2 linked regions of the Saccharomyces cerevisiae S288C genome follow. The gene in region 1 interacts genetically with each later gene. Each region holds a gene or a part of one and is shown on either strand. Other genes may lie near its edges. The genes, in order: ILT1 and PFY1.

Region 1 (15,646 bases):
TCGCCGCCTAGACCTGAAGTCCCATTTAAAGTGGACGAATGCATCATTGAAGAAGGCACAGTGGAAACGTTATTATTACTACTACTATTATTAGCGCTATTATTGGTACTGCTAATGTTATTATTGATAGATGCGGCTGCAGAGGTGTTAATGCCATTGGCGTTAACATTATTGTGGTTTTGGCTGCCATTTGTAGTTGTCGATGGGTTGGTTGATGTAGCCGTTATATTAGATAGTAAGGAGTTTGTATTAGTTAGAGAAGGGGTGCCAAAATTACTAGAATTAGACGGAATATTCATCTGCGGTAATTGCGGAGTTAAAACTTTCCTTTTGAACTTGGAACCCGGATCATCCAAAGTGGGTTCCACAATATTTGATAAGTCCATCATCCTTGATAACAACGGGGAAGAAATTCTGCTTATGGTAGTTTGATTCATGTTCAGGAACTGGTTTACACCATTAGGGGTAGTAGACCGAAGAGAACTACTTTGCGGTCTGTTCATATTAATATTGGAGAACAAGGGGTTCTTATTGTCTTCTAAATTTTGTAACTCTTGAGAGGAATGGTTTAGTAATTCATCAAAACTTCGAACTTTTTGAAATAAATCGTTATCATTATCAGTAATGGAGCCTCGTTGCTCCGACTCATTAGAATCATAAGATAAATTTGAAAACGGACCAGATTTTCGCTCTTCCTTCTTGTTTCCACAGCCGCATTTTAAAGGTTGCTTTCTAACGACAGCTTGCTGATCTAATATGAACTCAATAGATTCGCCAAAATTGTAACCATAATTGAATCCGGAGTACATGCAATAAGGGAAAGTAATGATGAATTCATGTTGGAACTGCACCACTCTATTAAATTTTATATTATTTTTTCGCAAGAAATCGGGAGAAGTTATGATGTTTTGATGTCTAATAAAAGCTGGACAATTTTCCTTATTACTTGATGGTTCCTTTGATAAAATTTTCAAAAATTGGTCTGTGTTTGCGGACGGTATGGAATACCATTGTTTGGGAGCACCGAAATGCAAGTAGTTTATAGAGCATTTATTCTGTTCGTCCAAATGCCATGGAAAAATGCATTTAGACTGACCAGTAAGTAACCGTCTGTTACTTGAGTTTATAGAATCTGGCAAATTATTCAAATTCCATAAAGTTAAATCATAGGGGAAAATTGAAGAGTTTTCGTCCACTGCATAAAAAGGTTTCGAAAAAGCGATGGTTTTCCAAAAATCACTTTCTAAAATTTGTAACTGTGCCAAATCATAACAATCCTGCTGACTATCTACGCGGCAATTTTCCTTTAAAGTTTTATCATTAAAATCACCTTGACTTATTCGAGAGTCTAGACTTTCGGCCAAGTTCTTCCACTGTGTTAAATTGTACGACTTATTGTCATACTCGTTTTCGATGCTAAATACACCGTTTTCATGTTTGTCCCATCGCTTGGCTTGTTGTTGAATCGGGGAGTCTAGTTGTATAGTCTTTAAACTTTCCGCAGGAGGTGAGCCTTCTAAAAGCTCCAGCCATTCTTTGGGAGGAATGACTTTGACAATACCATTTTCTATTCCGAATTTAGTAATTTCATCAATGAAATATTGGAAATTTGCAAACTCCATCATAGACGGCTTAAAAACCGGAACGCCATCAATAACCTCAACTGGCTTGATTTCCATTGTAGTCTGTTTTTGTAGCTATTCTTCAAATTAAAAAAAAAAAATTACAACGATGTTGTTCACTTTGTAGAAGCAAATACTTTTTAAACGCCCAACAAAGAAACAAATAGTGAAAAAAATTGAAAATTGGAAAAAATTGGGAAATGGAGGTTAATGATGAACAGAAAGGAAAAACGATGAAATATGTGGTGGGCAAAGAGTTTCTGTAAGCAAGAGACTTAGCGAAACAAAAAAAAAATACAACTGGCCAAACGTATTATTACTTGGCTATTTTCTTCCTAACAGACCAACTTCTTTTGCCTTCTGTATGGCGGGAGGAGGAGGGGGGAGGTTTTCTTCTTGTTTTTTCCGTTAACTTTTTCCCGATATGCGTAGAAGGATAATAATTTCAAATACACAACTCACACACGCGTTTGTACTTCTACCTCAACACAAACGATAAACGTTAAAAACTTCTCTTCAGTAAGTAGTGGTAATAATCCTAAACAGAGAGAAAATACTGTTTTCTTTTTCGGTTTGCTATTTTTACCTTTCCTTTCCTTTCTCTTTGGTGAAAAACCGGATCGGATGTAAACGTAAATGCCAATTCAAGGGACCTGTAAGACAAGAGAATGCGAAGCGGTAATAGTGGCAGTTGTAACCATTTTCTAGTCTTTCTCCGTAAAGTAGTTACTTGCCACAATGCCGCCATAGTGCGGAAAACAACGAAATATAATTCCTTGAAGCACAAAACGCCACCCCTTCCCCTTGCCCTTGCCCTTGCGGACGCCCTTTCCCCTCAAAATTTTTTTCATATTACGTCTCCGGCTTCGCTCTCTTACTCTTGGCGCCGGGCGGACCCCGGCAGGAAGGGGAGAACCCAGCCCCTTCCTACTCAAGGCTCTGCGCGGCGTTTTCTCCACACCCCACAGGGCGGGGTAGAGCCGTGCCGGGTGATACACATCATCACATCCTATATGAAATCTATATCATATCACATTGGTATACATAGTACAAAGGAAGAAAAAAATTGTAATCATTAACGGTCCCTGCTGCGCTGGCTGAGCAGCGTCTCTGCATGATTGATACCCGGCAGATCCAGCGAGGCACGTGCTCTTTCCACGGAGTATCTTGTGTCCAGTTGGTGGTTGGCAAGCATCTCTTCTCTTGTGCGATCCAGCGAAGTTCTGAGCTTATTTCCGCGGGCACTGGCCATTGATCTTCTAGGCAAGTTGTTCGTTGTTGTAACGGGGCTGAGCTGGTCACGGCGTTCCAGAGTGGTAGAGACACGGTACCCCTTGCGCGAGCCTTGCTCACCATTGAGTATACTCATTGGTATTTCCTCTGTGACTATGGTCTCTTGTGAGTGGCTGACACCATCAAAATGAGTGTCCAGTGAAATGGGCTCTTTGAAATCTGTAAGGGGACGTATTTCGTTTATTCTGGGCCTGCTAGGGTCCGTAGGGTCGTAGCCTTGTGGGTAGAGGTCAAAATCACCGCGTAACCACATTTCTCTAACGATCTCTATATCTTTCGGATAGAATATCTTTCTGATACAGTCAATGGTGAATCTTGGCAGTAGGCAGAACAGCACGCCAACGAAAAGTACTGCCCAATAGGCAGGTTGTGCGAATACACGCGCCGCACCCTTGTAAAATTCGTTACTTGACGACGAGCTTGTCCATATACCCGTCCAGCCGTAAAACACGGCCAGTGATAGACATATGAATAGGCCACAGAACCAGTCCCATCTATACTGTTCCATGAAGACGTAAAAGTTACATGAAGTGACTGCAATTGCTGTAACGAAGACACCGACAAAGTAACGGTGGTCTAGTCCAAGGCCATTTTCAGTTACAACCATGTTTTTATGGTACGCCAAATAGGGGAAAAAGAAGCATATCACAGATTGGTATACACCATCCAACATGTACCAAAGAAATTTGGTTTGGTTCCATTCTTTTCTTAGGATACCCACACGGTACAACTGTGGCACCAGCATCGAAACGGTGTCGGAAACATCTTGGTCGAGTACTGCTAGTAAAATAACAGGTACGGATGTGAATGCAAGATTGTAGAATGTCAAGTACGTATACTCAAACAAATACGACCCATCGAAATTATTGTAAATACCATACCAGAACAGGGATAGCGTAAAAATAACGTTCTTGTAGAAAAACTGTGGGATCATCTCTGCCAGTCTCTTATAACACCATTTACCATGCACCAATACCAGTCTTGTCACATATCTGAACTGCCCGATGGCATAATCAGAACACATGACAGCTTGTCTGCCTTCTTCACCCGCGATACCAACACCAACGTCCGCCGATTGAATCATGGCTACATCATTCGAACCATCACCAATGGCCAAGGTCATAACGTCTAAGGTCTTTTTTACCAACTTGACCACTGCAGCCTTTTGTGCTGGAGAAACTCTGCAACACAAAACAGCTTTACAATTCTTACACAGTAGCAAGAACTTGCGTCTCATTTCTTCACCATTCAAAGCAACTTTTAGCGCATCGCCATCGATAATGACAGCAAAATTTCCCTGTGGCAAACCATGCTCTCTTTTAGCTTCTTTTAACTCCTCCTCGGATCCACTCATGCCAAATTTTTCCCTTAAGTATTTTGTCACCAAATTGTTAACCACTTGAATAGGGTCACTACCAAATTCTTCTACATCTTCGCCGGAAGCCTTCACAACCAATAATTCCATATCATTGTTCAAAACATTGCAGGAAAAACCAATGTTAATGGCAGTTTCCACTTTATCACCCGTTAGGACCCATAACTTAATACCGGCCTCGGCCAAGAGGGCAATCGAATCAGGAACACCATCTTGTAAACGATCCTCAATGGCCGTACCACCAAGCAAAATAAGCTCACGTTCAATAACGTCAGTAACTTTGTCCAACTCTTCCTCCCTATTAGTAACGGATGCAGCGGCCACATCATAAGTCTTAACCCAACGTTCATACTCGGACCACGTGAGCTCTCTTTGAGCCAAACATAATGTTCTTAAACCTTCTGTGGCATATTCTTCCAAATGGAGGGCCGTCTTTTCCAACAAAGTAGCGTCGTTTTGAGTGCGATCTAATCTTGAATAGATAACGGAATCCGCACCTTTACATATTAACAGTGCTTTAGGTTCATCCTTTGGTGTAGAGCCAGGGATCTTGATAATGCAACTCATCCTTTTTCTCGACGAATTGAATTCAAGTACGTTCAGAACTTGGAACTCCTTTTGAACACCCTGGATCTCTACTATCAATCCACTTTTTGAACTACCAACGAAACTGTACCCTAATTGTCTGGCGGTGGAAACTAAGGCAGACTCATCAGGTGATTGAGCCTTGATGTCCAGTTTTTTAGGATCATCTTTATTTGGCTCCACAAGGACAGAATGACATAATGCGAGCGCCAGCAAAAAGTGTTCACAGCACTTTTGTTGATGGTCGCCACTGGATCCTTTCAAGTCTTCCACAATTTCCTTAGATACAAAAGTTAAATCCTCCGGACAAAACTGTGTATTATCACTCATTGATCTTAATTCGTCGATCATTGTTTCCCTATCTTTTGCTATCTCTTCCTTTTCGCGACGACCTTCCGATTCGACATCAACACCTTGTCTCTTCCTCAGGCCTGCTAGTGCCTCCGTATAGGCACGTCCATAAGACACACCGTTAATAGTACATTTTTTGAATTCCATCACATTTTGTGTCAAGGTGCCTGTTTTATCTGAAAAAATATACTCAATTTGACCCAAATCATCGGAGATGTTCCACGACTTTGGTGTACATGGATAGTCTAGCTTGGCATTATACAACAAAACATCAGTGTAAATGAAAATAGCCTGTGCTGTCTTAATAATTTCCACAGAAATATATAAAGAGATCGGAACCAATGACTGATAAAGAATAACCGCCACCCAAAAAGAAACAAAACCGTTAGTTGAGGCAGAACCTCCAATGGTACCAAATTCAAAATAATCTCTCGATCGAGGTTTCTGTTTATAATAAACACCGTTAACAATACCAGCAGTGAAACATAGGATAAACAATAGTACAAAATTCAAAATCACAGAAAAATTCAACTCTCTTGAAATTCTGGATTTTTTGGTTGGAGTGACACCAGCGTTTATCATAATCTTGGTATCGTCACCAGTAAAAATAACCATACCCATGGCCCACTTAGTGTTTCTCAAGGTACAACCTCTCAATAATAAGTTATTGATATTTACAGGCTCATTTCTGATGTTTCCATTTTGTGTATCTTGCCATTTGAAATTACCTTGATAAGAATACAAGTTGGCATGTGGGCCTTCACTTTCAACCCAAAACTTCGTCCTGGTAATATCCCTTGAACTCTTAATAATCTTGCTACATTTTAATGATTGACGGACCTTTAGATTTGTTTCACCATCCAAATTTTTGGTTTCCACATAACAAGCGCCATCAACATCTGATGTCGATAATAAGATCATATCAGCAGGAATTTCATCGTTATTGTGAACACGAACAATATCACCAACTTTAACATTTTTCCAGTAATCCTTGGCAAACCTACATTCAGGGTTTGGCTGTAGCGTTCGATCAACTAAATTTTCACCATCGTTATACCTGTTAGCCTGTGACATTGTTTGATTCAGGTTCTCATAATCCAAAGAGGGACGACCAAAGTCGGCAGACATTCTGTAACTACCAATTGAATCCAGAGACCCACGTGGCCCAAAGCTTCTCGAGTTCCTCTTCCTTCGTAATTCTTCCCTTTTTTTCTGTAACTTCTTTTCTCTACCAGCAGCAGTGAGGTTTTCTGAAAAATACTCAAAAATTTTAATCAATGCCCTTGTATTCGCTTTCTTGAAACGCCTCCATAAGGAAACGTTATCAACAGCAACATTTTCATTCTTCACCCCGCTTAAGATATGTGTTCTTGTATTATTAACTTCTAAATCCAATACAGTCCTTCTGGAATCTTCGATACCATCCTTAATAGCAGTGATAATTACGATGACAATTAGGGGAACGGATGCAAAACCTGGATTTGTCACACCAAATATTTGAAAAGCACCTAGAATCAACAGTATTAAAAAGTAAATATTGGCAAAATTATGAAATTGGAAAAGAATGTTCTTGGGAAAAAATGTTAATGGAGTATACTTCGTAGTCCTGATTTTATTACGCGGGTAAACTGCCAACGGTAAGCCGTCCTCGTCAAGCATGTCCTCCGGCAAGGGTAAATTATAGTAAACTGTTCTCAACTCATCAGACCTATTTTGCAAGGCTGAATTTTCGAGACTGTCTTCTTTTGTACTGAATTCATCAATAGCATTGTGGAAGTTCTTCTTGGCCCATTTCAATGTTTTTGACCTATTTATATCTATCCTACCTGACTTATTTCTTCTTGTACCAAAACGTACTCTTTTCAACTTATGATCTGCCTGGGAATCATTGTTGCTACCTTCATTGTTATCCAACTCAACATCCTCAAAGCCTCCAGTATTAGGCATAGGTGTTGCCTGGAACGAATGGAGGTCATCATCCACCTCATTTTCGTGTTCATGTATCTCGGTTTTTTTACCATTGAGTTCATCATCATCATTAATATCATTATCGTTACTATAATCATCGATTCCATCAAAAGTAACTTTTGAGAGATCGGGTGTGCTAATATCTTTCATTGGCTTAGATTGTCGCTTCAAAACAGAACCGCCGGTTTTCGCTACTTCAATATTTCCATGCGCACTACTGGGTTTTTCAAATTGAAAACTATCGTCAAATGGTGACATGGACGACAGACCATTAGATGCTGATCCCGATTCATGCTCAATATCATCCACGAAGGGAGAAGTGGGTTTGGAGGGACTTGACATATATGTGTTGAGTTTATGCTATGATTCTTTTTAAAGAATTCTATTATTAAAAGGATTAGGAAAAAAGGAACAAAGTACGAACAATGTGAAAGCAAATAGAAAAAGAAACGGATGGTTTTTTAAACTCTCTCAACGCTCTTGCGTTTAATCAACTCTTTTGATTAATTTGTTTCACCTGAGACTCTGTCACAGCAGAAAGAAGCAGCGAAAGTAATACTAAGAGGTAAACCACCGAGTAAGCGATGAATCTGGTTTGTCTATTGTCTGTCTCTATGCAATAGCAGGTAAGATCAACAAAAGCGATAATAACAAGAAATACATTAAAAACTTTATGATCCGGAATTAAACGTGGACCCTCGAGCGGACTAATGCTTACATTAGTGTAGGACGGTCGATCCCGGCTTCCATGGAACGGTTGAAAAATTTGGTGCGAAAAAAAAAAAAAAAACGAACAGGGTAGGAAAAAGTAAACTAAAACGCGTCTAGTAAAAATCTGGCGTAAAACTAAAGGTAGAGAAAACCATTTTAGCGACGCTACATTTTTGAGAAATGCGCCTCTTTAGATGACCATCTATGGTTTTTGCATTTATCGTAAATTTTTTTTTTTTTGCAGCAGCAGCAGCATAGTAATGATATATATTTATATATTCAGTTGAGAAAACTTATACAGAAATGATCACTCGGGTTTCTTCTTTGCATACAATTTCGTCCATTCGCGAGCCTTAGCTTTGGCACCTTGCTCATTCTTTATCCAATCTTCAGCGACGTCATTAGCTAGCGGATCATTAGGATTAGGGCTAGCCAACAGTGCTTGAATGGACAGCAGGACGGTTCTGATCTGTAAAGCGGGTGACCAATTAGTTTTAAGCACATCAAGACATATACGGCCCAACCTATCAATATTGGGATGATATATCTTGGTTAAAAAACGTACTTTCGGTGCTTCCATTGGATAGTCGTCAGGCAGATATAATTCTAATTCGAAAATACCGTCTTCATATGGTGACTGTTCTGGGCCTTCGATTGTTACTTGGAAGTAACGTAAGTTGTCGTCATGTGGTTCTGCTGTAATGCCAGGTACTGGGTCACTTACTAATTTCTCAGTTTCCTATATGAAAGTTCACAAAGACTTTGCGTTTTCTGCCCTAGTAGTTTGTTCTGTTGAATTCCCTCCATATGAGCGTTTGCGGATATGGACAAAGGGAAGGCGGAACGCTGCTACAAACTGGACAAAAAAAGCCTTCTTGTTTTGGAAGTTTTGCGTTAGTATGTAAGTTCTAGCCATTATCAAGAGGAAACAGTGTAGAGTGTGACGGCTCAGACGAAAACGTCACTTCAGATTTCGTATATAATCCACTGCTCTTGTTTGAACATACCTTGATTATTCTCTTGGGTAATGATGCCATTTCTAACTATGTTACAATGAACCTGACCTTATTTGCTAATATTGGAAAAAAAAAGAACAGAAGAGTGTAAAGTACTATTCTCTATAGAGGTGTTTTGGTTCGTGGTGGCGCGCCATCTTTCAATGAATCACTTATCCTTTGTTTTAAAAACACCATAATTTCGGGTAACAATACGGATGCGGCATAATTAACTGAACTATTCTCTTTGATGGTTTAAAGGAAAACAAATTCCTGTTAGATGCCCATTATATTTGTTCACATGTAGAGAAGGCAAAGAAAAAACTGCTTATTGTACTTTGGTAATTTTTTAAATGATATTTAAAACGTTAGTATTTTCTGTTCCCGCGGCTCCCGCAGAATCTAATCATTAAGCTTGACTAGTATCAAGCTTTTTTCCTTCTTGTTCTGCATTCAAGTATTTGTTGGTAGTATTTCTAGACATCGAAAAGCTTTTTTAGCCCAGAAAAAAAGAGATGAAACGCTTAAATATCTCAAAATTAACATGAATTTATATTCTGTAAAAAAAGTATCGTCGCAAAATGAGAAATTAATGTTTAGCGATCTAATAGTGATCTTGAATATTTGACTACTTTGTTTGGATAACTTTTTCAGCATTGTCAGCATGCCCAAGAATAACGATTATTTTGCATCCAGATAAATGCTTCCAAGAACCTTTACTAGTTTTGTTTCTTGGTTTTTTATCGTCTAAATAAAAAAAGACGTCCTTGTTAAATTTCTCCCCAGTTGAAAAAAAATGTCTTGTGGCCTATCATGGTTTACTACAAACTGAATTGGAAAAGGATTTTCCTAATAGTTTGATGTCATGTAAAACGCCCTCGTATCTGCAACGGAAATACACAAATAAAGAAATATCAAATTAGCCGCCGACGTGTCATTTTCGTCGTTGTTGATGATCAAATTATCACAGTAAAAAATAGTACGGAATAGCGTACTTGAAAGGAGCATCGTTTAAAACACCGCGGAGGATAAGAAAGAGCCGGTCATTAGCATCCTACCCTTCACATAGTAAAGACTGAACATGACTATACGCTGCTTCAGTCACCTGTTCATAAGCAAATACCATGGATAGAAAAACAATCTCTTGTTACTCGTGTGCATCGAACCAGATTTCTAGCCGGGTAGTTTTGCAACTGAAAAAATTTTCTATTTTTTTTCTCAATCGCATCGCTCGCTAGCAAAGTGAAAGTGAAAAAAAAAAAATGTAAAACTGGGCATTAACCTTTATTGTTTCTGTATTCTTAGATCTTCATTGTGATCTGTTTCAGCGCGAATTCCACCTAGCCTTCTGCAAAAGTTCTTAAGAAAACACGACAGACCATAATGAGTGATAAAAACAGTCGTATCGCTATCGTTAGCGCTGATAAATGTAAACCAAAAAAGTGTCGTCAAGAGTGTAAACGTTCGTGTCCCGTTGTGAAAACTGGTAAATTATGTATTGAAGTCACTCCAACTTCAAAAATCGCATTCATTTCCGAAATCTTGTGTATTGGTTGTGGTATTTGCGTTAAGAAATGTCCATTTGATGCTATTCAAATTATCAATTTGCCAACTAATTTAGAAGCCCATGTAACTCACCGTTACTCTGCCAATAGTTTCAAACTGCACAGATTGCCAACACCAAGACCGGGTCAAGTCCTTGGTTTAGTCGGTACCAACGGTATTGGTAAGTCTACCGCCTTGAAAATCTTAGCCGGTAAACAAAAACCTAATTTAGGTCGTTTTGATGATCCTCCTGAATGGCAGGAAATTATTAAATATTTCCGTGGTTCTGAATTACAAAATTACTTCACCAAGATGCTGGAAGATGATATCAAGGCTATAATCAAACCTCAATATGTTGATAACATTCCTCGTGCTATTAAAGGTCCGGTTCAAAAAGTTGGCGAACTTTTGAAATTGAGAATGGAAAAAAGTCCTGAAGATGTGAAACGCTACATCAAAATTTTACAGTTGGAAAACGTTTTGAAAAGAGATATTGAAAAGTTATCTGGTGGTGAACTGCAAAGATTTGCCATTGGTATGTCATGTGTTCAAGAGGCTGATGTTTATATGTTCGATGAACCTTCATCTTATTTGGATGTTAAGCAACGTTTGAATGCCGCTCAAATTATTAGATCTTTACTAGCTCCAACTAAATACGTTATTTGTGTTGAGCACGATTTGTCAGTTTTGGATTATCTTTCCGATTTCGTTTGTATCATATATGGTGTTCCATCTGTTTACGGTGTTGTTACATTACCAGCCTCTGTCAGAGAAGGTATCAACATATTCTTGGACGGTCATATTCCTGCTGAAAACCTGAGATTCAGAACTGAAGCTTTACAATTTAGAATAGCTGATGCTACCGAAGACTTGCAGAATGACTCTGCTAGTCGCGCCTTCTCTTACCCAAGTTTGAAGAAAACTCAAGGTGATTTTGTTTTGAATGTTGAAGAAGGTGAATTCTCCGATTCCGAAATCCTTGTTATGATGGGTGAAAACGGTACCGGTAAGACCACTTTGATCAAATTACTAGCTGGTGCTTTGAAGCCAGATGAAGGACAAGATATTCCAAAATTGAATGTTTCTATGAAACCACAAAAAATTGCACCAAAGTTCCCAGGTACTGTCAGACAATTGTTTTTCAAGAAAATTAGAGGACAATTCCTAAATCCACAGTTTCAGACTGATGTCGTTAAACCTTTAAGGATTGACGATATTATTGATCAAGAAGTCCAACATTTGTCTGGTGGTGAATTACAAAGAGTCGCCATCGTCTTGGCATTGGGTATCCCAGCAGACATATACTTGATTGATGAGCCATCTGCCTACTTAGATTCCGAACAACGTATTATCTGTTCTAAAGTTATCAGAAGATTCATCTTACATAATAAGAAAACTGCGTTTATTGTCGAGCACGATTTCATCATGGCTACTTATCTTGCTGATAAGGTCATTGTTTTTGAAGGTATTCCTTCCAAGAATGCTCACGCAAGAGCCCCTGAATCTTTGTTGACTGGTTGTAACAGATTTTTGAAGAATTTGAATGTCACCTTCAGAAGGGATCCAAACTCCTTCAGACCAAGAATTAATAAGCTAGATTCCCAAATGGATAAAGAACAAAAATCATCAGGAAACTACTTTTTCTTGGATAACACCGGTATTTAAGCATCTTGGGATTCGGAGAACCAAGAGGACGATTGTTTTATTTTTGGGTTTAGAAATGTGGAGAAATAATTAAGAGTTATAATGTTTTTGCAAAACAAAATGAGTATTATATTACATTGAGTTCCTTCCCAAGCATCGGGTTGTTTATTTCTAGATATACGCCAACTAATACATTTCTAACTTCCCACCTTCATTACATCATAACCTGAAAGTGAACAACCTCCTCTTCGGTGATCCGTACTCCAGTTTATTTCATTTTTCTGTAAAGCAACTACACTATATTTATTCTCTATTTATTTTATATACCTATTGTATTTTAATTAATCGTTATTTTGTCCGCACCTTCTTCGTAATCGAATTTACCTTGTAAACGAGTCGTCATGATAAGCATTTGCTGCATTACTGAACGTTTATCTTAGCATGACATTAAAGTCCGTTTGTCTAAAATATCACCCAATTATTTCCGCGGTGTGAGCGCCAGATAAGGTGCTTCGGGTAATATGAGAACGCCGTTTCTTGATAGCATTTTTCAATGACTAGATAGGTAGATTACCTCTGTATCACACTTCTCGTACCAAACGAAACTCATATAAATAATGCTTTCCTTCTGGTGCCTTCTACTTTCCGCTGATCTCTATTTTCAAATTAACCGCTGAAATATAAACTGTGGAATACTATAACATAACATAGATTTAAGAATAAGGTATTCATGATCTCTGAAAAGGCTGCTACCGCTTTAGCTACTATAGCAACAGTTTGCTGGTGTGTCCAGCTAATTCCGCAAATAATATATAATTGGAAAAAAAAGGACTGTACGGGGCTGCCACCACTGATGATGTTCCTCTGGGTTGTTTCCGGAATTCCATTTGCCATATATTTCTGTGTTAGTAAAGGTAATGTCATTTTACAAGTTCAACCACACCTTTTTATGTTCTTCTGTTCTATAAGTTTCGTCCAATCGTGTTATTATCCACCAATCAGTATGGCGAGATCCAAAATAGTAATGATTGTAGCTGCTATTATTGCGGCTGATGTTGGCATGGAAGTTGGCTTTATATTATGGCTGAGGCCCCTTTACGAGAAGGGTGTTAAATGGCCCGATCTGATTTTTGGTATTTCTGCATCTGTTTTGTTAGCTGTCGGACTGCTTCCACCTTACTTTGAACTAGCCAAAAGGAAAGGTCGTGTTATTGGCATCAACTTTGCCTTCTTATTCATCGATTCATTAGGTGCTTGGCTATCTATCATCAGTGTTATCCTAGGTAATATGGATATTATGGGTATTATATTATACTCAATAGTTGCTGGAATGGAGTTAGGAATTTTCGCGTCTCATTTCATATGGTGGTGTAGGTTTAGATTCCTAGCTAAAGGCAATACTTTTGACGAAGAAAGTGGCCAAGCTCAAAAGGAAGAACCCGATGAAAAAATCGAACAAGATATTAGCAAGAGTGACCGAAATGTTACTAACTATAACCTGGATAACTGTTCAATCCCCGACGATGCTTCGAGCTTTGCAGACGATTTTAATATATACGATAGTACTGATGGGGGGACGTTATCAAGAGCCCAAACATTGCATGCTGTCCATGGAGTTGTGGTTAGAACAGATCCTGATCGTTATTCGAGGCTAAGTGTGTAACGAATCTGAGTCCTTTTTAGTTAGCACGTTTTCATCTCTTTTTGATAGCACGCTTAATAATATTCACCACTAGCGCAGTAATATGGCATCTGCCGCAGGTGTAAAGGTTTTCACTTCGCTTATATTCACAATACTATGCGTTCAAACACGGCCATCAGAAAAGATCAAAATAAGGATTATTAATTAAAAACTTAAACAGAAATTCAGTTTGCAACACCCTTCGCAATGGCGAAGTTTCCAAAAACAAAATCTCCAAACAAGATTAACATTCTTCTTATGTAACCACATGATATGCATATTTTATATAGACTGTACACATGAAAAACTTTTATCGTCCAAAATAATTAAAAGAAAATTTCAATCATACCATAGCACACTGTTCCAGTAACTGAGAAAAACATTGTGAAGCAACCAACATAATGCCAGATTGGCGCCAAAGTGAACCGACTAAATAACAACAACAGGCACGCACAGATCAAAATAAGGGAAACCAGTAAGGAAATGATAATAATGGCTATGAGAATATTTTGAATTTCTAAATCTATCTCATTATTACTTTGCCCGCGAAACAAGGATAAAACGATTCCCAGACATACACTTGCCATAATGCAAGATGTTAGCAGTGCAGACAAGTATAAAAATGTAACAACTTCGTCATGCCTATATTCGTAGATAGATTGTGAGTCCTCTATGTCTTGCTGTTGATACTGTAAGTACCTTTGAACGTCATCATATGACGCTGAAGTTGATTGTGAACCAAATGACGCAACAGAACCATAGTTAGTTGATGAACAATGCGGATGCTTAGAGTTTTGAAACAAATCTGGCGATGTTTTCTTGTCATGGCGAATCAAGTTTCGTAACTTCTCACAAAAATCATATGTGCGGTTGATGAAATTCCGGCTAAACAAAATAAACCCATAATCAGGCGGAGAATTTCTCAAAAGTAAGGATTCTTCGTTATCTGTTGTACTCCTGCTTCCATTAGTATCAATGTAAAAAGCATTGTCTAAATTATCCTCTTCTTGTTCATCAAATTCATTCCAATACCTAATAGGTTTCTTTTTAGTTTCATTATCCGATTGCTTTGATTTTTTGTGAATTCGAACTCTTCTGCCGCTGTCAACACTACCTTGTGAGTTGTTTATCGGCCCAGTCAGGTCAAACTCTTCCTCTAGACGATCCTTGCCCAGCTGGAAAAATTCATCAGGTGATAGCGAATCATCGGAATTTAATTTATATTGATCTCTTAGTAAAAGTTGAAATAAATCATTTTGCAATTCATTTGAGTGTACTAATTCTAAACATATTTTCCATGTGGTTAAGTCTGGTGGTATTAAGCTGCATTGAAACTCATTTGTAACAACTGATTTCATTAACTGTTTAAACTTATTGTCTTCATTAATAGCCGTCTGTGAAAGACCACTGGATCGACTAAGCTTTTTAATTTCTAAAATTGGAAAGGGTAATGTAGATACATTTCCAATAGTGATAGATTCATCCAAAGCTATCAAGTATATATCTCCATTGTCTGCTGATATGAATCTTGTTCTTTTAAAATCTAGCTTTGGTTCAATGGTTTTTAATCGATGGGACTGAATCCACTCCAAAGCGATCTTACTGATTGGCGATGGATCCAGTGAGTTTATGAGAGCGCTAATATTTTTTGTGTCGTTGCCACTCCTCATGGCCGAAAGAATATTCTTTACATCCCTTAGAAGCAGATCATTTGTGACAACATGATTTCTTAAGCCGCCCACGTGGCACATTACTATACAAGTATCCTCAGCAGTAGAGCTGACTATCATGTTTGGGTGCTGATTTATATTATCATCAGTAAGTAGTAAAGGACTGCCTTCGTTCCCGACAGTATCTAGTATACTAATAGAAACGT
Region 2 (9,965 bases), on another chromosome or scaffold:
AGTTCCAGTAACGAAGAGGGTTCTTCCCACTCAAAAAAATTCACAAATAGCAAAGATATTTTGGCATATTTCAATAACAAAGCACAGCAACAGGTCACTATTCCAGAATTAGTCAGTTTTAAGGGAAATTTGCAAATTGAAGATCTAAACACTCCAATTTCTCACAAAGCTTTATGCAACTCACTTTATTTTCCGCAGAATCATGCCATGATTGTTGGGATAGTGACTAACATGTTGAGGGTTTTGAGCAACTTCCCATTAATGAAATCATCTTACGAACCAATTACGGGATATGGGTTATTAAAATGCATTTTGTTGTTAAACAGGGCACGATGTGCCAAATTCTTGAAAACCAAGTCCTATGATCAACTAAAACTGCTGTTTATCTCTTTATCACTTCAGAAAACTGACAAAGAAGAACTCTCCGAAGAAAGTGAAAACGACGGAAACAAGGAGTTGACTATAAAACAAATAATAACTGGGTTTGATGATGTTGATACAGAAATGCTGTGCATTCCTGCTGATTTTATGCTTCAGTTTTTAACTTGGCTTTTAATTTTAACAGTTGATTGTCCAACCACCAATTCTAAATTGGATAATACAGAGACTCATGATCAATGGGGCAATTTCAAAGTCTCAGCACTCAATCTCCTTAGAACTATGAATCCAGACGTGGTGGGCGATATAGAATCACATTCCATAACGTTTCAACAATTTTCAACTGCAATAAGAACTGTAATGCCCAATCTATTAAAACCATTAGAGAATTTAATGGAGCATTTTTTTTATTTGCAGCACGATTTAGTTGATCATGACACAAACTTATCGTCTATTCAGGATTCTAAAGTTATGACTCCAGCACTGTTGGCACAGTTATCGACGGGACTACCAAAGGAATTATTTATTCATAAGCTACAAAGTTTATACATCGGCAGGAAAAGTGGCTTCTCAATGAGGTCTTTGCAAGCAAAGGTGTTCAAATGGATGGCGCCTTCGATTTTAGTTGTTAGCGGAATGAGGATAACAAATTCTGAAGAATACGCAGCTGAGAAGAATCCAAGATACCGCCATTTTCTTGAAGAATTTCCTAAATTGAAAGAGTCAGATCAAATGATGGATGCATCGCATTTGAATAAAAGGAAAACTACTTTCGCTGTGTACATAGACGATCCGTGGAAAGTAACAAATAAAGATTATTTTGGCGATCTGAATACGAGAATAATAGAAATATCACCCAGGCAGGATATTTATAAAGTCAACCAAAAAGGCACGATCTATTTCAATACAATTGGTGGCGGAATTGGAATCGGGGATAAACAACCATTAATAAAACCAGCATCCAAGAGATACATACCAGGGAACGTGTCGCTTACTTTTGACAGCACATTAGAATTTGCTGTGTTTAGAAATACTGGTTACGGAGGTTCATTAGACCCTGGTTTATTGTCGATGGAAAGAAAGGAGGAAAATTCCCCTTATGAATTGCATTTTTTGATTCAAGATGTTGAGGTATGGGGCTGTGGTGGTGAGAAAGAACTAGAAGAGCAAATCAAACAGTTGGAATGGGAAGAAGCAGAATCTAAAAGAAGACAGCAAATTAACCTGAGAAGCTTGGGAGAAGACCGTGCCTTACTGGAAATGGCAGGTTTAGTTGGCCAACATCAAGGTGGCGGTTCAATGTGATGCCTGCCTTTTTTGCTGTTTTTAGTTATTGGGATTGATTTCACTAAAAATCAAGACCACTAAATAAGGCTATTGTTTATTTTAATATTTATTGCACTTGTATGAAAAGTACCAAACTTTTGATACTGATATTACACTTTTAGTCTTGAACTTTCTTCGTTAAATTGCTGACCTACTTTCTGTTCTTCGACTCCAAACAACGATTCCCAAATGTATTTTCACAGGGCCGCATTATTTCTTTGATTTCGTTTTTTTCACCAATTTTTTCTTGATGTGCTTCTTGACTTTTGTTTTCCTTTTTTCTCTTTTTGCATCTTTAGCTTCCTGCTTGCGCAATTTTTTTAAATCCTTGTCCTCATGTTTCTTCCCCTTTAAAACTTTTGGTTCATCATCGTCATAGTACTCGCCCTCCTCCTCGTCATCTTCTTCAGATCCGCTTGAGCCGTCTTCTTCATCATCTGAGAATTCCTCTGTGCCAGAACTACATTCGTGGTCAGCGTTATCAAATTCAAATTGCTCAGAAGCAGCAAAATTGCGTTCATTATCATGGGCAATCAAGCTTTTCAGTAAGTCAAACTTACCATCAGTATACCTATCAAAATCTCTTTCCTCTAATCCACCCAATGATCTAACTAAATGCAGCGATCTGAATATTTCATCTTCTGCCTCATCTTGTTCTGTAGATTTTATTGGTAGATTACTAGCAATGTATGCAACCAAGGCGCTAATATTGTTATAATCACCTTTAAATTTCTCCAAAGTTTCTGATATGACAAATTGAAAAATAACCCTTTCAGGGAAAATACTTATACCCATCTTCTCGAAATAAAGGTTAACGTTTTTGATATCCATCCTTAAAAAATCTAAACTCATTGGATGTTCAGGTTCCACACTTTGGGAAACATCGATCATATATAGTTTATCATCATGAACTATGGTGTTATACTCTGACAAATCGGCATGAACCAGGCGACAAACTTGGTACAGCAATCTCATATATGCCACCATTGTGTGATAATAATGGAAAATTTCATCACGATTCTTGTACGGATAATCTTTTAATTTAGGTGAGGCAAATCCATTACCTCGGCTTAAAAATTCCATAACTAAGACGTTGTTCTTAACTTCTATTGGCTTAGGAGCTGGAATGACGCCACTTTGATAAATTCTTTTCAGGTTCCTAAATTCCTTTTCAGCCCAAATTTTAATCATTTTCCTTGGATTATGTTGAGATCTGGAATTTCTAAATCTAAATTCACCATCAACATATCTTTCACGATCTTTGAAGACTAGGATAGAGGTCTTATAAATCTTAATGGCATATTCTGCACGGGATCCGTCTGTCTCTAAAACTTCATACTGGCCTGTTTCCTCATCTATTACGGGTGCCTTACCGGTACCTGCAAAAGCGTGGTAAACATTAGCTTCTTTCCCAGTACTTAAGCAACCGTTCAAATCTGCAATCACACCTCTGGTGACCATAGACTTCAAAAATCTCATAGTTCTCGGATCTAAGACATTTTCCACAGTCGCCCTATTTGCTTTATCCTTTGATGTTTTCGCTCTGCTGAATGATAATTCATCAGTTTTTATTTTGTGACTATACTTCTCTAAGAGCTGATTATTAATATGGTCCGAGGCACCTTGCGACACAGACAATGAATCAAATTTATCTTCCAAGGACATGACCTTCTAAAAATAACGGAGTTTGAATCTCTAAATCTGTTTTAACTTCTTTTTACTATTATTTTTAGTCTTAGTATCTCATCTCATCTCAATTTCTATATTCCACTATAAAATTTTTCACTCTTTCTGCGCGCGCCAATGTCCCCGCAACTACTCAATAGGTAACATGAGAATATTTCAGTTCGTAAGAGAGAAGAGATGAAGTTATTTGGGCTCTTTGCTCGAGGTTACAGAAGGGCCGCATTAGAGTGAATGAGCTGATGATATTTCGCCCAGTTCTACATTTTTTTTTTTTTGGAAGTATGACCTCTGTTAAATTTTTTTTTTTTTAAATTTCACTTTCTAAAGTCCCAGAAATCCGCTTGAATGTCTTACATATTGCAATGGATATGCTTGGGTGATCATACTTCCTGGCTTTAGATATTTGAAACTTAACTCTTGTCAACAAACTTCCTATGGAGTGTATAAGAATTGTAAGTTATAACACCGGCGAACAATCGGGGCAGACTATTCCGGGGAAGAACAAGGAAGGGCGGTCTTTTCTCCCTCATTGTCATAGCAAGGTCATTTCGCCTTCTCAGAAAGGGGTAGAATCAATCTAGCACGCAGATTGCAAACACGGCTTAATAATATGCCTATCAGGCATTCACCCGTGTGACGAATCGCACACCGCTGCTCTCCTTAATTCCCTAGAGTAGAAACCGAGCTTTCAGGAAAAGACTACGGCAGTAAAGAATTGCTTTACTGGGCGTATAAAACCGGGAGAATCAAGACATTCTAATGACTTGATTCAGGATGAGAGCTTAATAGGTGCATCTTAGCAAGCTAAAATTTGGACAGCTCTCATTACTAAATTAAGATAGAAAAATGCCTGCTACTTTACATGATTCTACGAAAATCCTTTCTCTAAATACTGGAGCCCAAATCCCTCAAATAGGTTTAGGTACGTGGCAGTCGAAAGAGAACGATGCTTATAAGGCTGTTTTAACCGCTTTGAAAGATGGCTACCGACACATTGATACTGCTGCTATTTACCGTAATGAAGACCAAGTCGGTCAAGCCATCAAGGATTCAGGTGTTCCTCGGGAAGAAATCTTTGTTACTACAAAGTTATGGTGTACACAACACCACGAACCTGAAGTAGCGCTGGATCAATCACTAAAGAGGTTAGGATTGGACTACGTAGACTTATATTTGATGCATTGGCCTGCCAGATTAGATCCAGCCTACATCAAAAATGAAGACATCTTGAGTGTGCCAACAAAGAAGGATGGTTCTCGTGCAGTGGATATCACCAATTGGAATTTCATCAAAACCTGGGAATTAATGCAGGAACTACCAAAGACTGGTAAAACTAAGGCCGTTGGAGTCTCCAACTTTTCTATAAATAACCTGAAAGATCTATTAGCATCTCAAGGTAATAAGCTTACGCCAGCTGCTAACCAAGTCGAAATACATCCATTACTACCTCAAGACGAATTGATTAATTTTTGTAAAAGTAAAGGCATTGTGGTTGAAGCTTATTCTCCGTTAGGTAGTACCGATGCTCCACTATTGAAGGAACCGGTTATCCTTGAAATTGCGAAGAAAAATAACGTTCAACCCGGACACGTTGTTATTAGCTGGCACGTCCAAAGAGGTTATGTTGTCTTGCCAAAATCTGTGAATCCCGATCGAATCAAAACGAACAGGAAAATATTTACTTTGTCTACTGAGGACTTTGAAGCTATCAATAACATATCGAAGGAAAAGGGCGAAAAAAGGGTTGTACATCCAAATTGGTCTCCTTTCGAAGTATTCAAGTAATTGTTTTTGCGTGTTTCTCGTATGATTGTAATATGTAGATAAATTAAACATAAGTATATCAAATGTCGATATTCTTAAGACTGTTTCGTAAATATGTTAAATACCGGATGTGACTACATATAAAAAGTGCGCCTTTTACAGTGATAATTAGCGTCAATCAATAAAATATTTGTAAAATAGGAAGCGAAATCCCGCAGATGCCAGAATAGGTGGTGTATAAGGCAAGAAAACTTTACCTGCATAAATTAGTATTGAACACCAATCAAGTAGTCAGCCAATTGCTCGACAATCTTGGTGGCCTCACCGGCTTGTACGGTTGGTGGATAATGAGCAATAATAACGGTTTGCTTAGTTCTTACACAAACAACACCCTCAGCATCATGTCTACCGTAGATACTTCTATCGTCAGCTCTCAACAACATGAACTTTTGGCCTTGAATATGCAAACCATTGCTTTGCAAACCAGCTGGATTGTCGAAGCCTTGAACAATTTCACCAATTTCGTTTGGTTGCAAAGATAGGCCACCAGAAGTAGCCCAAACAGCGTCACCTGCTCTCGAGTAGATGACAGCTTTGTCGACTTTACCGGTTCCTATTAAGTTATCAGTGTATGCTGTTTAAAAGTAGGAGAAAAAAACGGAAAGAAATTCATGTTTGAAATTTCATATGTTTTTTGATATTCCAGTTAGTAATTTACTCTGAGTGGTTAATCTTCGAAATTACGCGCATCAACAAAAATCGGGCATTGCCAAACATTGTCACACAAGCTAACCTCCGACTCATTTCTTTCTTAATCAATTGATAATTGTCTCGTTCACATACCTTGCCAAGACATAATTTGCGATCGTAGTTGGGTTTATGTTGTGTATGTAATTTATCTTTTCTCAAGGATCACACAGTTGTTTTAAGAAGGGAATGAGAAAGGGTCAACTGAGCTTTAAAAAGAAAAAAAATATTAATGCGGGTAATGAGTTTCGTACAAAGACATTTCATGGCGTGTTCTCGCCAAAAATCATGGTAAAACCTCCCACACAGTAACCTCATACTAAATACTACAACATGTCATCACTCCATTTCTTTGCGATTGTACATACTAATATATATAAACAAAGTAACGTCTCCTCTAATCCTCGTCTTCGTCGTCCTCGATGACCGCAACCCTTCTTCTTTTTGTCTCGCTCCTATCTTTTTCTTCTTCTTCCTCTTCTCTGTACATTGCTGCTCCTTCTCTTTTTAAATTTCTTAGACGAGAGGCGTTCTCTTCATCCGCGTCCTCTTCTTCTTCTTCTTCCTCATTATCATCCTCTTCGTCGTCAAACGCAGCCTCCTCTTCCTCATCGTCGTCGACTAAAAAGTCATCTTCTTCATATTCATTTCTTCTCGAGGCTCCATAGGTAGTGGGTGAATTTTGCTTTCTAAATCCCGTCTCAAAAGCGGCATCTGGGGATTCTTGTTTCTCCTTTTCTTTGAGCTGTCTTCTCCTTCTGTCTCTTAAAATCTGGCTTTGCTTTCTCTCTAACTCCTTCTTTTCCACTTCAGGATCCATACTTACAATGTATGTTCCAGGACCCTTGCTTTGTCTTTGGTTCCTTCTTATAACAGCTTTACTTAGTTTTTGATGTATTTTTGAATTCGTCGAAGTTGGAATAAACATCAACGTCTTTTTTATTTCACCCCCTTCGTAACACTGGATCAACTCTTGTTGGTCATGCGATACTGTCAAAAAAGTGTTGCTCGTATCGTTGACCAATATATCTGTACACTCTTCACCAACTTTTAGCGAATATGTACCGTCTGACCACTGCACTATTTGTGTATTTGATTCTTTAAAGACATGTTGGTCTTTGTCACGAGAGTATCTCCATCTAACAGTGTTTTCATCAATCAGGCGGTCGTCCAGTTGATCCTCCCTAGAAGCTGAATTGCTTGCCCTTTCGTTTACTTTGGCCTCAAAACTTGGAGGGTCGAAAGGAATTGGATCGATAGTTAAAAAGTTGGGAATTCTAGCATAGAAAATTTCGTTGTGAGACGCCGTTTCATTCACATTAGCTTTACTTGGAATAATATGTCTGACAAGCTCTACATTTTCCTCTTTAAAAGTGTGAGTAGTCTCATCTTGATCAGAAAAGTTATTAGCATCCTCACCATAAAATTTTCGGGTGTACATGGCTTGCTCCTCTGCTTCATCATCATCTAACCCGAGACTTTCTCTATGACGACTTCTATGGTTGATATTCTCTCCCTCGTCGTCTTCATCACTATCACTATCACTTTTTTCAGTCTCCGATTTTTTAACATCATCATCATCATCGTCATCATTGTCATCTCCAAATAAATCATCTAGTTCTGCGTCTTCTTCTTGTTCCTCTTCTTTAGTATCATCATTTCCATTGACTTCCTTGACATTATCATCTTGAGAGCGGCTTGTTTCCTCATTGCTTGTACTATTGGTGGTAACGCCGACGTTATTGCTGATTTGCTCCTTCTGTGGTTGATCCTGTGGGCTTTCAGATGACATCTTAATTATAGTCCAGTATATCTAATTGGATTACTTTGATTGGACGCACCTAGTTTACGCAACCTATCTACTTAACGACTTTCTTCAGCTTTCGTATTCACTTCTATGAGCTTGTTCTTTTTTTTTTTGTTTTTTCGTTTTTCTTTACGTAGCAGATAGTCACCCGTAACGATTGAATATGGCAAAGCTTTTTACATAATAATGGTACTTATGGCAATAGTGACATTTTACATAAACTCTTCATTGACTAAGACTACTTTAGAATTCTTTTCAATGGCTCAATATCACCTTCTTGTCCTTGTTTGACATATACTAGGAAATATGGAGTTGCAGTGTTACCCTCATTGAAATTGAAGACCTCCTCTTCCTGGACCTCACTGATGGTTTCATCATTGTACTTCCTCCAAATTCCATTGCGATTTCTGTCCTTGATATATATCCAATAGTGACCATAACTGGCCTCGCCGCGATGAATAAAAACCGAAAACAGTGAGTAACCATATTCCTTGAAATCGTCAAATTGATGGCTTATTTTCTCTTCCAAACTGTTGATATCATTGTATAATTTCATCAATTCATTATCGATATTTTGAACGTTGTTTCTCAGCGTCTTTATCACATCATTAGCAGCCTCAATTTTTAAAGGAGTTTTCTTTATGGTATCCGATTCCAATAGCTTGATACTCTCCAAAAATGCATCCTTCCTTGTAAGCCCTGAATCATCACGACTCAAAAGCTCTCTTTGTCTATTTTTCATTACCTTCAACTTTTGCTTCATTTCTTCTGTTTCTTTCTTTTTTGCCAACAATAAAGGGTTCTCTGTATCCGCGTATCTGTCCATGTAAATAACTTCTTTGAATGGTAAGGGCTCAATGGATTTAAACGGCATTAATCTTTCACGATCGTAATAAACTCTTTGGATTTGTACCTGCAAAATAGTAGGAAAAGTTGTAACAGCAACGGTACGTATAACATCACCATACTCTTCCATTGTCAGATATTCGTCTTTAAAATAAGAATCAAACGCATCATAAATATCTTTAGGATGATCGCCAATATTTATCAGTAACGATAGGAATCTTTCAACTTTCGTACGGACTTTATTTGTTGCGGACAAAGGAACAATACTTTGTTTAGTAGTACCATAAAATAGTTGCTTAACCAAGTCATATTGCTCGTTGTCTTCATCATATCGGATAGGCTCTGAACCGCTTTCTATCTGAAATAACACGTTTCCTATGCATTCAGTAACATCTTGTTGCCTACCCATTTCCAAAGCATTTTCTAATTGATCAGAACTGATTTTTGCCACACGCGTAGGTGAAGTTAATCCTGTTGTATCTTCGTTCTCACTTACTTCAGCATCATTCGATTCATTTTTTTTTCTGTTCGCATCTGTACCAACATCGCCATTAAGGCCATCTTCCATTTCTAAATCAATCAGGCTTGTATCCTTTATTTTTGTAGTAAATGCGTCATCCGTTGTTTCCTTCTTTGAATCCGAAAGAACTCCTGTTTGATCAACTACTTTATTGCCTTCCACTTCAAATTCTACTTCAACATTACTTGGAGCAAATGCCAAATATGCTAGCTCTTTTGAGGGTGTTACACATCTTTCTCTTGTATGAACCATCGCATAGAAAAGGTTGCGAAGTTGGTATATGAATTGAATAGATCTTTCCACTTCGCCTCTACTAATTTCTCTTCCACCAATTCTTCTAATATGCCCACTATTAGAGAGGTGGTCATTGAAATTTTCTACCGTTTTTTGATATTCCAATACATATCTTCTTAGTGGCGCAATGGAAAAGTAATATTGTAATAAAGAATTTAGGTAACAGGTGTTCCCGATATTATTAATGCCAGTTGGCCAATTTTCTGGCGGCAAGGAATTTGGATCTATCGTACCAGTTAGTAAGAAGTTGGTGATTAAAGTTGAATTTCTTTCTATACTGATTTTGGTCAATGCTGCCCTCAAAATAAGAAATTGGTCAGGCTCATAAACGTTTTCATCAAACCACTTTTGTTTAAAGATTTTCAAAATGGTTTCGTCAGAGGCATTTTCATTCACTTGAAGAAGCTTCAATGCCTCTTGGTAATCAAGCTTCTCTGGACCATAATAGTTGGAAAACTGTGGGCATTCCTCTGTTAAAAAATTGAACAAATCAAGGCTTCTTTTACTGATAGCAATGGTGTAAAGTGCTCTATCACAATCCAACTTTAATCCGGGAGAGTCGTTAATCTTGACCGAATATGCAGTTTTTATAATGTC

Evidence for each region.
Region 2: mutations in ILT1 (region 1) and PFY1 impair growth when combined (synthetic growth defect), as found in Saccharomyces cerevisiae (2 studies listed by BioGRID, with this or other methods).

The regions. Positions count from the first base shown.
Region 1 is NC_001136.10:623,172-638,817, reverse strand, and holds ILT1 (Ilt1p), read left to right. Parts: upstream 1-12,819; coding exon 12,820-13,752; downstream 13,753-15,646. Other genes in the region: histone demethylase GIS1, read right to left, coding at 1-1,679; aminophospholipid-translocating P4-type ATPase DNF2, read right to left, coding at 2,698-7,536; E2 ubiquitin-conjugating protein UBC13, read right to left, coding at 8,213-8,644, 8,913-8,942; RLI1 (Fe-S cluster-binding ribosome biosynthesis protein), read left to right, coding at 10,284-12,110; VTC5 (Vtc5p), read right to left, coding at 14,097-15,646.
Region 2 is NC_001147.6:546,878-556,842, forward strand, and holds PFY1 (profilin), read right to left. Parts: upstream 6,011-9,965; coding exon 5,998-6,010; intron 5,789-5,997; coding exon 5,421-5,788; downstream 1-5,420. Other genes in the region: RTC5 (Rtc5p), read left to right, coding at 1-1,683; protein kinase RIO1, read right to left, coding at 1,915-3,369; glycerol 2-dehydrogenase (NADP(+)) GCY1, read left to right, coding at 4,237-5,175; Paf1-complex subunit LEO1, read right to left, coding at 6,299-7,693; ubiquitin-specific protease UBP2, read right to left, coding at 7,947-9,965. UniProt on the Saccharomyces cerevisiae protein: Binds to actin and affects the structure of the cytoskeleton. At high concentrations, profilin prevents the polymerization of actin, whereas it enhances it at low concentrations. By binding to PIP2, it inhibits the formation of IP3 and DG.